3 linked regions of the Sus scrofa genome follow. The main gene of each other region encodes a partner of the protein of the gene in region 2 in a complex. Links are inferred from orthologs where the notes say so. Each region holds a gene or a part of one and is shown on either strand. Other genes may lie near its edges.

Region 1 (4,164 bases), on a different chromosome or scaffold from region 2:
CTTGCAGTGGGTTTACTCAGTGTAGTGTTGCCAGAGCTACTGACTGAAGTCTCTGGGAATCAGACAAGATGTCCAGGGGAAGATCACAGTGGGAGCATAGCACTCACTAGCCCTTGTGTTTCTAACAAATGGAGTTGACATTTATGGCTGGTTTGTTCAACTAGGAAATGTTCAAAGTCTTTTCAGTTCCTGAGCCTGTAACTTGAAATGAGAAAGAAGTGTGAGATAGACAATGGTGAACACTATGCATGGACCAGGTTGTACAGGGCCTGAAATTTCTTTCTTTTCCATACTACTAATAAATGACCATATTCTCATCATCAGATTGAAAACTACATCAAAGTATTACTGTGCAGAAGTGAAATTGCCCTTCAGCCCAACCTTGCTTCCGCTCCCCCCTAAGGGAACCGCTACTCACAGCTTGAGGCACTTCTTTCCTTTCCCTCTTGCAGTTCATAGTTGACCTTCAAGTCTCAAATCAGAAGAAGAAAATCCCAAAGGCCAAATGTGATGGTGGTTCTGCACCCTGCTCCCCACCACCCCAGTGTTTAAATGTCAGAGCACCTCCCACACTGTGCTGTGACTGGACACTTGCCATCTGTTAGTCTCCTAGACTGTAATCTCCCCTTGGCCAAGACTGGATTTTATTATATTTTGGAGACTGTTTCCTGAAGACGACTGGCTGGAGGAGTGGCAGGCTGCCTGGATAAATCAGACCTGTCTTTCTTAGGCTGGTTCTTACTTAAGGAATATTTAAGGGGCCCAGCCTTCGAGTAGGGACCCAGTCAGGTCACATAAACTCTGCTGGTGTGAAGTGAAGCCTCTCCAATGAAGAGAAATGTATAAAAATTGGACGGAAGCAACGTGGCCTTGCGGGAAAGGCCCAGGACTTGCAGGAAAGATGCCACGAAGGCATGAGACTTAATGCCACCTCTCCAAGGCTCCTAATAATGGGATTCATAATATCCACCCAGTTTAGGAGAAGAAATTTTGCAGAATGAATCAGGAGTCAGGTTGCACAGCGACCACCCCCTCCGTGCTCTCGAGGTCCTCCAGGCTGCCTTCCTCTGGTGGCCTGTGCTCACTATAATCCCTCTGTCCAGTCCGCTTCACCTCTAGACCGGGCCAGAGCTGCACCCTGTCACCACTGGTGCCCTGGAAATGCGCGCTGCTTGGCGGGAGTAGGGAGCGCGGCCCCGGCCTTCGGGCCCCTCCGGCTGCGCCTCCGTCCTGCTGACGCCCTCCTGTGGCCGCTGCGAGGCGACCTCCGGCCGTCCTGCGGGCCCCCTCCCTCGGCCGGTGACATCACCGCATTCCCGTCCCGGCTCCTCCCGCTTGCCGCCGCAGTGACAGGGAAGCCGGGCCCGGTGGCAGAGAGGAAGTGCGGGGCCGCCGCGCCGAGCCCGTCCCCGCCGAGGCCGGCTCCCCCAGGCGGCTCGGGTGACAGTGTCGCGGCCGCCGGGCGCAGCGCGGGGCACGCGCCGGGCAGAGCCAAGGGCCAGGCGGACGCTTCAGCAGAGACGCGGGGAAAATGGCTGATGACTTTGGCTTCTTCTCGTCATCGGAGAGCGGGGCCCCTGAGGTTGCCGAGGAGGACCCGGCGGCTGCCTTCCTGGCCCAGCAGGAGAGTGAAATCGCGGGCATAGAGAATGACGAGGGCTTCGGGGCACCTGCCGGCAGCCAGGCGGCCCTCGCGCAGCCGGGACCAGCGAGTGGGGGTGAGTCAGCGCGGTAGCCTGGGGACTGGGGCGGGGGGGGGGTGCTGCAGCTCGCACCCGGGGTACCGGTCTCGGGGCCCTGCGGTCGAGTGAAGAGGGCCTGCTATGTATGGCCAGCCGGGAGCAGGCCTGGGACTGTGTGTACCTGAGTGGACCTGGAAGAAATGGGGGAGGGGAGTCTTGTGGAGATTCCCCCATCTGAGGGCCCCCCTGGAGCTGTGGATCTGGTGGCTCCCAGGATAGAAATTCAGCGTGACATTTCATCCCCAAGCCAACTCTGCTACTGCCCAGCTCTGGAATCCAACACTGCCCAGCCCTGAGACTCTCTCCTGAGCGTCCCAGGAGGCTGGCTGGCCCAGGCTGAGCCCTGCAGTTGTGGGCAGAACCCAAGACCTCCCTGCCCCTCAGACTTAGCTCCTTCCTACGGCTGGGAGAGCAGGGGCACTGGCTGAGAACTCACAAACCTTCCCTGGGGACCACCTGCCATCCTGCAGTCATTGATCTTGGCATTTGACTTACATTTAATCATTTCATGTACATTCTTAAACCCATCTCAGAGATGGCAAAACTGAGGCTCAAAAGGTACACTACTGAAACAACTAGTAAGTGGCAGAGAAAGGACTCTAAATCTATTTCTTTCAGACTCTAAGCCCTTCCCACCTGACCACATTGTCTTCCAGATGCCTGGCTCTGGATTAGACCCCAGCATGGGGGCAGGGAGGTGGGGGTGTGGGGGGGTTTCAGTCAAATGTGGTCCTGTCCTCCTGGGGTTTGTAACTTAGTGGTTGTCCAAAGGTGGCCCAGGGCTATTGTGGATAGCTTCAGACTCAGGGTTTGGAGCCTGATCTTTGCACTAGCATGTTCATCAACAATATCCCTGCTCTGGTTCTGCTTGAAAGAACAATTTCTTGAAGTGTTTAGTAAAAAAGTAGACATCACCTTCATGGGTGAATCCCAAACAGCCTTTGCTTCCTCTTAATGTTGTCATTTTAGTGGGGGTTTATCAGCCTGTTGGAATAAACGGTAGCTCATCTGTTTTTAAAAACTGCTTACAAGAAAGTCTCCTTAGAGTCATGTTTGCATTCATTCAACATTTACTGAGCACCTACTATTGGCCAGGCCCAGTGGGGATGCAGATATGAATAAGATAGTTCCTGGGGCTAGAGGAACTGGGAGCATCTCTGTATTTCCTTGGCACAAAAAACCTAACAAGTCTTTTTTAACATATAAGAAACCAGAGGCCCAGAGATCTGAGTATCTTTCACAAAGTCGCACAGCCATGAGTGACAGATCTGGGACTTGATTCCAGGCCTCCCAACTCTGGGCTCCATGCTCTTTCAAATGCTATGACAGTCACCCTGGGAGGTGATAGGATATGAAGGTAGGGAGGGGGAGTCTTTTGCTACTCAAACAGGTCAGCTGTGGGGGTCATCTGGAGAAACAGCAACTCCTAATATCTCAGTATGGACCCTTATACATCCCAGGGAATTTCTAGGAAATGCGGGCCGACGTTCATACACCGGTATTCATTGGTCCACACCTCCCCCTTGAGACCACCAGCTTCCCCACTCTGGTTGGCCTGGGCGAGGCCTTGCTGGGAGAGCCCATGTTAGAACCACCCCAGAGAGAAGAAGGTAGAAGTCAGGTGGAAGGCAGCCGGAGGCAGCTGGGCGTTAAGCAGGCTGGGACCTCTCCCAGGAAAGTGGGACTCCAAGGTTTACAGCCTGGATGAGAAGTTCCCTTTCTGGCAGGGGTAGTGGTGCACTGATTGGCCCCAGGCCTGGTGGCAAGGGGAGAAGCAGGGACACCGCCCTCTCTGGGTCTCCCAGATGCACGACCACTGAAAACTGCAAAGGTCCAGCTGCTCTGCTGAGCAGCGCCCAGCGATAGGGGAGGTGTTATGGGATGGCAGCTCAATAGATGGGTAGGCAGGATGGAATTGATCTGATCCCCTAAGCCTAGATGCTACTGAGCAAGTTATCCCCCCAGACCCATGCTGAGTGCCAGAGGCCTGGCTGAGATGCAGAAAATGTGCCTCAGGCTGCTGGGAGCTGGGGCGGAAGCTGACTTCAGCAGCCAGCACCACTCATCACTTCTGAGTCTCATCTCGGAAATGACGCCCCTGCGCTGAGTGCCCTGATTTTGGGCCCCCAGCTATCCCTTGGGGAATGGTGTTTGGTGTAGACCTGAGCCTGAGCTCCTTTGAGTCTTCTGGGGCTGGAACTGTGGCCAGCCCGAGCAATGGATACTATGTTTCCATTCATCAGCCTTGGGAAGGGCCCAGGAGGTTTACATTTTCACACCCAGATTTCTATGAGCCAGCCCTGGCTCTGCCCTTGACTTGCCCAGTCATTTTCCGGCAAGCCCATTTCCCCTGATGGGCCTCAGTAAGCTCCCAGGAATGTTCTGGACCCTGTCTGTCCCTGTTCTGAAAGAGGTCAGGGAT
Region 2 (4,220 bases):
AGTACATCTCTTCCAGATAGTACAGTTAAGCATACAACATATCCCAGTAATATTTAGCATTGTTTTCTCTCTGCAAATCAAAATAACCATAGCAAGGACCCCTACCATTGAATTCACAACACAGTCCACGTCTGTATTTACAAGTCAAAGGGAAAATCACAGGGTAGGGAGATTTTTAATTGCAGACTCAAGAAACCTGGGAATACAGCAGAATGTATCAATCGGCATAAAAATACCTGAACCAAAAAATGAGAATTGCAGGCAACATTATACATAGCCTAGGATTTTTTTTCAGAACCTGCATTCTAGCAAAATCTTGCTCAACAGGCATTCATCTGTTCACTGCCATTAGCGTAAACATCCCCAAAAAGAAAAAAACTTTCACAACTATTTAATAGTCACTTGATGCAGTTCTGAGCCTTGATGGATGCTTTATCTGGCCAACAGTTCACCTTGTGAAGCTTTCACAGGCTAACTCTACACTCAAATTCCTCAATTCCAATTTCCAATTTTTATCCTAAGTGTTTCAGAAAGTATTCTGCTCCTAGCAAACTGGCAGGCAGTCAGAAGTCAAAAACCTAAGATGCCAATTAAAATAATCCTTATTAATTTTTATAAAGGGAAGGGACACTAATGAGAAGTCAGGCGTTATCCTGGAAGAGGTTGGTGATTAGGGCCCTGTGCAATCAATCATTATCAGCTGGAGTATACAGTCACCTTAGCATGCTTAAGCATGGCATATATATTGCTCAAAAAAATGAATGACTAAATTCTTCAAATACATTTGCGAGGTTACTTTACATTCTTCAAATTATTTGAGAAGGAAATGGCTTCACTTAAGTATTTGCAAAAACACTGAACCACTTAGAAATTAGACCCGTATTAAATCTGTCTTCAATTAGTGACAAGGTTGGAGTTCCATCTTTGGGATTATTCAACAATCTTGTCTCCTCTTTAACAAAAATGAAAAACTATTGTTCAAAACACCACTAGTCAAGAAATAAGGTTTACTAGTGGGTGGGCTATACCTCTGCTTTGTAATACAAACAATCGTAACTGCTTTTTTTCCTGTATGATTTTACAAACTTGTCTGCAGGAAGATTACAGTCCAGAAGCACTTTAGTCTGAGGACAAGGCTGTGTTTTCCCCTCAAACATTACTTTCCTAACCCCTGACAATCACTTACACCCCCGCCTTAAGAGAAGAAACCACAGCAACTAAAATTTGGATTGAGCATTAACAACTTCTGTATCCATTTTTCCACATAATGTTTTTTAACCTTTTGTAAAATAGTGTTCTACTACATCTGATAACCAAAGATAGCTGAATAAAGTGTATTCCTTAACTCATTTTTTGAGGAGATGATTATATTTCAAGACTTAAAGGAAAAGAAGTCTTGGTGATGCAAGTGTTACCTGTAAAAAAATTATTATGTTGGTAGTCAGAATATTAAACTTTTTTATTAACAGTAATCCTTTATGTATAACAATGGCAAGTAGAAAATAAAATAGCCTTCAATAGTAAAGTGTCCAAAAGGTCACTAGTATTAGTGTCACATCATTCCACTGGTACCTCTTTTGTAATAATAACATTACAAAATTAGTCCTTCAAATGACTGAACTGAGGCAGGCCTCTTTAAGGAAGTAACTGGAAAGAAAGCCTATTTTATGGATAAATTATTTCAGCCAAAGTAGAACCAGGAAAATTGGAAGCTCAAAAGAGACTTAATTCAGTCAAGCCCTCCAACGATCACCTGCCTGGGCCCGCCACGGGCATGTTGCCAGATAAGACAGTCTGTTGCCTACAGGATAATGCACCATGGGGAAGAACTCTAGAAGCTACTAAAGGAAGCCAACGGCAGACCAAATAACCTTGCATATCTCCGGGCAGGTGTGCTCTATCTCCAGGGCTCATTCAATTCCATGCAATCCTGAGGGAGATACTCAGGGCAAGCCAACTACCCGCTGGACCAGCAGACCCCAAGATAACCTCTGGACAACTCTTTTTCTCCCTTCTAGAAGCAAAGAGGGAATAAAAGCCACACCATTCCCAGAGAAATCAAAAAAGGGGAGAAAAGCCGAGTTCTCCTAGAAAACTTGATCCCACACACTCTGCGACTGACACCGCCCTGAGAAATATGTTCCCCCATTCTATCCTCCTTTTCCTTCAGTGACCTTCTCTGTTCCTACAGCCTCAGGGAAGGCGAGAGACATGCCACCGCCGTCCCCCCCCCCCACCCCACCCCAGGGAAGGTGCCTTTCCTGTTGAGAGCCGCAGAGGGAGGAAGAAAAAAGGCTGCTCCTCCCCAACCCACCCGCGCCACAACTCCAGGGTGCAGACACGAAGGGGAAATGGTAAGAGAGAGAGCAATGGGAGGTGACAGTCCTGCACTGGCCTAGGGGATAAGAATTCTTGCTCTACAAGAAACGCGGGAGAACCCTTCCCCCGCCCCCAACCTACCCAAATGAATGAACTGGATAAAACCGGGGGGTGGAAAGGTTAGTATGCGCAGTTCTTGTCATCCAGGAAGCGAAGATGAAAAAGCCTTCAAATCCAGGCCTGGCCTCGCTCCCCTATGTACCCAGACTCGCGTCCTTTCCATCCAAGCCCCCACATCATTTAACCCTTTAAGCTTTCCAAATAGTGCCCCCATTCTCCATCTACCCCAGGAACCGATTACCACCCCCCCATTCTACCCTTTTTGCTTGGGCTCAGACTCCAACTTCTTCCTTCCTACCGCCCTCTCTACATAGCCTTCACCAGCCAGGGCCCCACCGCACCTGAAGATGCTCCTGAAAACGAATTGGCAGAATCTGGGCCATGGCGCTGTCGGGGGGTATGGTCTCCTCCTGTCACTGGGGCTGCGGGGCAGTGGCTGCCCAGGCTCTCCAAGGGAGAGGAGGAGAAGGGGGAGGGGGAAGGCTGGGCTCGGCAGGATAGTCTCCGGGGACGCAGGAAACTGGCAGGCAGACGAAAGAGCTCAGGTCGGGGGCGGAGGCTCCAGGGTCCGGGAGAGCCGCAATGGCGGAACCGGGCGCAGCGCAGACTCCGGAAACGGCTGAGCCCTGCGGAGGGATCCTGGCGACAGAACTCCGCCCAAGTTGCCTCACCCCCTCCGCCTTATGTACCCCTCCACGGAGTGCCGCGATACAGCGGAGGCGCAGGAATTTGGGGCGCAGTGCGCTAAAAGCCTCACTTACTGCTACGACACGGTGGTAAATAGAGGACTCGAAGGGACTACTTTTTTAGCCTCATCACTTTCCCCGGCCGCCTGCTTTCCCTCCACCCTCCCCTTTTTTTTTGCATTTTGCCACATCATGCGACTAGGGGCGACTAACGTCATTTCCGTGGGCGCTTTAGGTCCCACCCACGTACTTCCGGGTGCACGTGATGCTGGTCGGGAAAGGTCGGCTGCTTACTGCTAGAATGCAGCGCGAATTTTAGGGAAGTGCGGCGTCTCCTGGGAATGAGGTGGCTGTTGGGCCGCCTTGAGGAACGGCGGTGCTGGTCCCTTCCCCTGTGGGCCTTACCTATTTAAACCGAGTCCCCTTACGAAGAAGACGTGGCGTGGGCAGATGGGCCCAGCCTCCCGCCCTCTCCGTGACTCAGGGAAACCGCCTCCCTGCAGAGCGCTCCTGGCAGCCGGCTGCGGCGCTCCTCCCCCGCCTAGTTTCATGTGGTGGGTGGTTTGTTACTTCCCAGGGAGGAGGGTATGAAATGGGGTTTAAAAACCCTCTCTGCACTTGTGCACGCCCTTCTGCCGTTTGCAAAAGCTGACGCTTGGGTTCTAACTAGAACTAGTAGTCTCTTCGGATATTAAACAGTTGGTTCACAGGACAGTGAAAGTCATTTATGAGTATCTCAAGCTGGCCTTGTGATAGCCTTTCTTAACGTTTCTGCGGACATTTTGGCGGACGTGTATATGGGTCTAGCTTCGTAATAAATCGTGTTGAAGAATTGTAGTGTCATGAATACACTTAAGAATTGGACTAAAATTGTAGTAGGAGGGTTTTTTAAAGTCATGTCTAGTAATGAGCCTCAAAGATTTCTTAAAGATAGTATGTAAAAACCTCGGTGTGGTTAATGTACACGCTTGGAGAAAGGGATTAACTATTACTGGTCTATTTCCCTGGGACCACCTGAACACTGTAAATTAGCAGTTTGGGGATGCAAGAGCTTCAAAGGGGGAGCACCGCGTCTTCTAACAGCATTAAGGTATC
Region 3 (4,243 bases), on a different chromosome or scaffold from region 2:
GGGTTCTTAGCAGAAGAGTTTATGCTCTAACTTTTATTTTTAAAAAGCTACCCTGGTGGCTGCGTACAGTGTATCTGAAAAGAAGCGTTATCCACTGAAATTACAAATGGACACATGGGCCAAAGCGCAAAGCATACTGGGGAGGTGGAGGAGAGCTGCTACGGCTGAGACCACGGTGGCGGCATCTGAGTGGCGCTGGAAAGAGGAAGGTCTACTCTGAAAGTGGAAACGACAGTGACGGAAGACCGGGTGGCGGTGGCAGCTGCCACTGGAGGGGCAGCTCACTTCCTTGAGAAAGACAAAGAAACGGCTCGGAAGGAGGTGGGAGGGGGGACGTGCCAAGGAAGAGCTGGGAGACACTCGGGCGGCTGATGCCAGGTAGGCAGGTGAACGTACACGTCCAGCGCTCAGAGGAGAGGTTTGGCTCAAGACAAAATGTGGGCACCGCCTGAGGGAGGACGGGATTTACAGCCACAGCACCACTGAGGACCTGGGGGTGGGGGGTGGAATACAGAGAGACCCCCAACCAGGTCCTGCGGAATCAGCTTCAGAAGCTGGGAGAGCCGGAGAAGGGCACAGTGATGGATACACCAGCCAGGGAGGCCGGAGGAAAAGCAAGACGCCTCAGAAGGCAAGCAAGGGACGCTTCCAGAAGGCGAGAAGGTCAAGAGGTAATGAGACGTTGAAAAATGACAAGCCGGCTGTCCTCAGGCACTGACAAGGCAGCTTTCCCAGAGGACGGGGGCGGAGGAAGCTGTGGGGGCTGAGGATGGGAAAACACGGGGAAACAGAGAACCTTCTTGAAGCCTGGCTCTGAATGAGGCACAGAGCAGTGGAGAGGGAGCAGAGACTACGGGGACAAGTCAGATAACAGGACCCATCCATGTGTCAGGGATGGGCCTGCGCTGATGGACAGGCAAAAAAGTCAGGATGCAAAGGGAGGGTGAGAGAGGCTGGGGTCCCCAAGGGGATTCAGCATGCCAGGCGGAGGGGCCAGAGAGGGCAGCGGAAGGAGAGGGATGTGGCAGCAAAGACCGTTCTAGATCTGATGAAGCAGCGCCGATGGCTGGCGGCCTCTGGGGGGGTTTCTGCAAAATGGAGGCATTAAGGATGCTGGGATACCCAGTCTACACGCCGGGGGGGGGGGGGGGAATGCTGCGAAGAACAAAGGCTAGAAGGATGTCCCCGCCCTTCAGCAGAGAAAGAGGGTACGGTCCTTAACTCCTTTGGTGAGGCTGTGCTCTGACCGCCACACTCAAATCAGACAGGGACAGAACAAGACAGCAGAGCCACAGGCCAGGCTCTCTCCCTAAGGCAGCGACGGCGATCCTAAGCAAGTCTTCGAAAAGGGAACCAGCAGGAGCGCGAAAAGGCAACATCAAATTCAAGTCCACAAATACAGCTGAGGACCCACCACGGGCCAGGCACTGAGGATCCTGCGGTGAATAAAATCGCAAAGAATCTCGGCTATGAAGCTGAAACTGGGAGCAAAGGGAATGTAGAAAACCGGAAAATAAAGACGTTGGACGGGATTTCCCTTGTGGCCTAGGGGTTAAGGATCCCTCATTGTCACTCCTGCGGCTGGGGTCTGGAGCCCTGAGCCAGGAACTTCCACATGCTACGGGCAGGGCCAAAAAAAAAAAAAAGTAGACGGATGCAAACTCCTTGAAGGCAGGGAGCAGGAATCGCAGGGGTGCAGAGCACAGGACGAGCACTGAATGAATAAACGAGTAAGTTGTCCCAAGAGCGTTAAACCGACCTGCATCTCCCCCGAGCTCCCCGAACAACAGCGCTGCAGTCACAAAACGTACCGTCCTCGGGAACCTCCATCGCCGCCGCTGGGCCTGGCTGGCCGAAGGCGCGTCGCTGCCGGCTCCTCCCGCCGCGGCGAGAGCTGTCAGAAGTCACTGCGGGACGAGCGGGCCAGAGGGTGAGCGGGTGGCAGAGCCGAGCCCCGGCTTCCTCCAGCCCCAGAGAAGCCCTGCAGCACGAGCAGCACGGGCCGCGCGGAGGGAGCTGAGCTGGCGGCCGCGGCGGGCCAGGGAGCGGGGGCGGCAGAGGCCACCTCAGGCGCAGCCCGAGACCCTCCGGGACGCACCCCAGCGCCCGCGCGCCTCCACGCCGGGTGCTCCGGCGCGGCGCCGGCCGAGGCAGGCCTGAACGCCCCGGACCCGCACGACCGAATTCCAGCCCCCAGGCCGACTGCTGGGGGCTGCGGTTTGCCCCCGGGGCGGCTCCGTACTCGCTGCAGCCCCGACGGAGCGCGCGAGGGGAGCCTGGGATCCCCGCCACATGAGCCCCCCGCTCGACGTCCCCCGACCTGCGCCCCGGGCCTCGCCCGCGCCCCCGCGCCCCCTCACCCGGAGCGGTCCCGGCCGACGCGCCTCCGCCCCGGGTTTAAACGCGCCGCGGCAACTGCGGCGCGGGCTGAGGATTGGCTAGTTTGAAAGGTCTCGGCGCCCGGTGCATGCTGGGGGTTGTAGTCAGAGCCCTGGGAGGCGGGCACAGGACGCATGCGCACTGCATCGGCGCGCTGATCGTGCCTGAGGTTCGTCCCAGGCTTGCGGTGGAGCTGACGTGGGGCGAGGTCTCTTAGAGCTTGCACCCCGTATGTCCCAGAAGACCAGGCATCAGGACCAGATCTTCATCCTTAAATAAAAATCAAATTCCTATCGTAGGGTGTTGATGTGAAGACCAAACGAAATAGGTGCTCCCACCTGCTTTGTAAAGCATTACCAAGTTCTTAACAGAGCAAGGAGACCGGTTCCCTGCCCGGAAGAGTGCCCAGGTGACACCGGGTGACCAGACACCCCAGTTTGTGCCCTTGAACCCGGAGAACGTGTTTAGGCCCTGAACATGGCCTTCATCCGCGCTTTGTCTTGTCCTGAATCCTTGACCAGTCTATCCAAGGGCTCCCCCTGCAGTCCTGGGCCTTGCTCTTTGCCTCGCCCCCCACCCCGCTGCATTCTGATGTGCTGGGTCCTCCTGGATTCTCCCTGGGCCTCTGTCCATGGGCTCCCTTCTGAGTTTCATCATCTTTTGCTCAGGACCCTGCTTAACTGGAGAAGAGAGAGGGGGCCAGACAGACCCAGGTATAAATCCCAGCGGCAGGTCTTGGTCCAGAGCTCTCGGGTTACAAGTAATAGAAAATCAGCTTCAAGTTGGCTTTAGAAAGAGTATTTATTGGCTCCAGGAGTAGGGACGTCCAGGAGCCCTGACAGGAGTCCTGACTTCGGGCCTAGACAGAGAGAGGGGCTTGAAGGAGGGTGCCAGGTCAGATTGTCCCCTGCTGGCCCCTCTGGGGTCCTGCTCAGCTTCAGGCAGGCTGCCTTCACTCCAGGCTTCTCCCTGCCTGCCAGAACCTGGACTCAATCCATGATCCCAAGGCCCAGGCCTGCCTGGTCGTGACCACAGGGCCACTGCAGCAGGGACCCAGAAGGTACTAGACCCAAGGGCAGTTAGCCTAGATGTCGGATTCCTACGACCCTGTGGGCATCTGCTGGGGTGAAGGCCCCCAGACACCCACTCCCGATGCTCCTCCCCCTGCATCATATCAGCACGTGGGACGTGCTCAGTGAGTACCCCAATTATCAATAACTTGCTGCTGCTAACTCTGAGCTGTACCTTCATCCATCTCTCCTCTGGGCCTCCTCTTTTCCATCCACTGTAGACTCAGTTCTCCCTGCCTGGTTGGATTATGCTTCATGTTTTCCTGCACTTGTTCATGGGATCACGTATCCATCATGGGTCCCTGACAGATAGTCAGTGCAGGCTCTGTGCTGGGTGAGGCTGGGACACATATGCTGTCCCTGACCCCAAGCAGTCCAGCCGGCGAGAAAGATGCAATAGCAAGGGCAGGTGCCAAGGGCTGTGGGGCACCAGCCTGCACTGGGGGGACAGAGGCCTTCCCAGAGGAGGGGACCAGGGTTCCTGATACCCTGGCCAAGTCGTATCTTGCTTGGAACCAGGAGAAGGAAGGACAGGTGGGGTGTGGGCAGGCTCTGTCCTGAGAACTGGCAGGAGGGGACAGCTCAGGATGGGAAGGCAGGCTCCCCCTTGGGATGTGCCCCTAGCCCCTGAGGTGAAACAGCACCTCTCTTAAGATCCTACTGAGGGAGGTCCCATCATGGCACCGTGGAAACGAATCCAACTAGGAACCATGAGGTTGCAGGTTCGATCCCTGGCTTTGCTCAGTGGGTTAAGGATCCAGTGTTGCTGTGAGCTGTGGTGTAGATTGCAGATT

The links. Proteins that work in one complex are often made in the same cells at the same time.
Region 1: the proteins of CLTC (region 2) and CLTB are in contact, whole or in part, in a cryo-EM structure (PDB 6SCT), measured with the Sus scrofa proteins. Residues at the interface, in NP_001139599.1 of Sus scrofa: Gln1291, Arg1293, Gly1294, Phe1296, Lys1326, Phe1327, Gln1354, Ala1355, His1356, Pro1382, Thr1383, Glu1413, Phe1414, Lys1415, Pro1416, Leu1417, Gln1444, Pro1446, Leu1447, Thr1473, Glu1474, Glu1475, Glu1503, Leu1504, Ile1505, Arg1508, Leu1533, Lys1535, Met1538, Lys1562; in XP_005661527.2 of Sus scrofa: Pro100, Ser102, Trp106, Gln110, Leu114, Ser121, Thr124, Glu125, Trp128, Arg129, Ala132, Asp135, Leu136, Trp139, Val147, Asn150, Lys151, Asn154, Arg155, Asp158, Tyr162, Glu191, Trp192, Lys194, Val195, Leu198, Cys199, Asp200, Phe201, Cys209.
Region 3: the proteins of CLTC (region 2) and GTSE1 are in contact, whole or in part, in a crystal structure (PDB 6QNP), measured with the Homo sapiens proteins. The link is inferred for Sus scrofa from reciprocal best matches to the Homo sapiens genes CLTC and GTSE1. Residues at the interface, in NP_004850.1 of Homo sapiens: Val50, Arg64, Pro65, Ile66, Ser67, Ala68, Leu82, Lys83, Ala84, Thr87, Gln89, Phe91, Asn92, Ile93, Lys96, Ser97, Lys98, Asp143, Arg144, His145, Trp164, Gln182, Leu183, Tyr184, Ser185, Arg188, Lys189, Val190, Ser191, Gln192; in NP_057510.5 of Homo sapiens: Ser686, Arg687, Pro688, Leu689, Ile690, Asp691, Leu692, Met693, Ser707, Pro708, Val709, Val710, Gly711, Gln712, Leu713, Ile714, Asp715, Leu716, Ser718.

Annotation. Positions count from the first base shown.
Region 1 is NC_010444.4:81,463,572-81,467,735, forward strand, and holds the start of CLTB (clathrin light chain B), read left to right. Parts: upstream 1-1,315; 5' UTR 1,316-1,531; coding exon 1,532-1,718; intron 1,719-4,164. UniProt on the Homo sapiens protein: Clathrin is the major protein of the polyhedral coat of coated pits and vesicles.
Region 2 is NC_010454.4:35,847,983-35,852,202, reverse strand, and holds the start of CLTC (clathrin heavy chain 1), read right to left. Parts: upstream 2,823-4,220; coding exon 2,781-2,822; intron 1-2,780. UniProt on the Homo sapiens protein: Clathrin is the major protein of the polyhedral coat of coated pits and vesicles. Two different adapter protein complexes link the clathrin lattice either to the plasma membrane or to the trans-Golgi network.
Region 3 is NC_010447.5:3,243,831-3,248,073, forward strand, and holds the start of GTSE1 (G2 and S phase-expressed protein 1), read right to left. Parts: upstream 2,850-4,243; 5' UTR 2,361-2,849; intron 1,908-2,360; 5' UTR 1,831-1,907; coding exon 1,812-1,830; intron 1-1,811. UniProt on the Homo sapiens protein: May be involved in p53-induced cell cycle arrest in G2/M phase by interfering with microtubule rearrangements that are required to enter mitosis. Overexpression delays G2/M phase progression.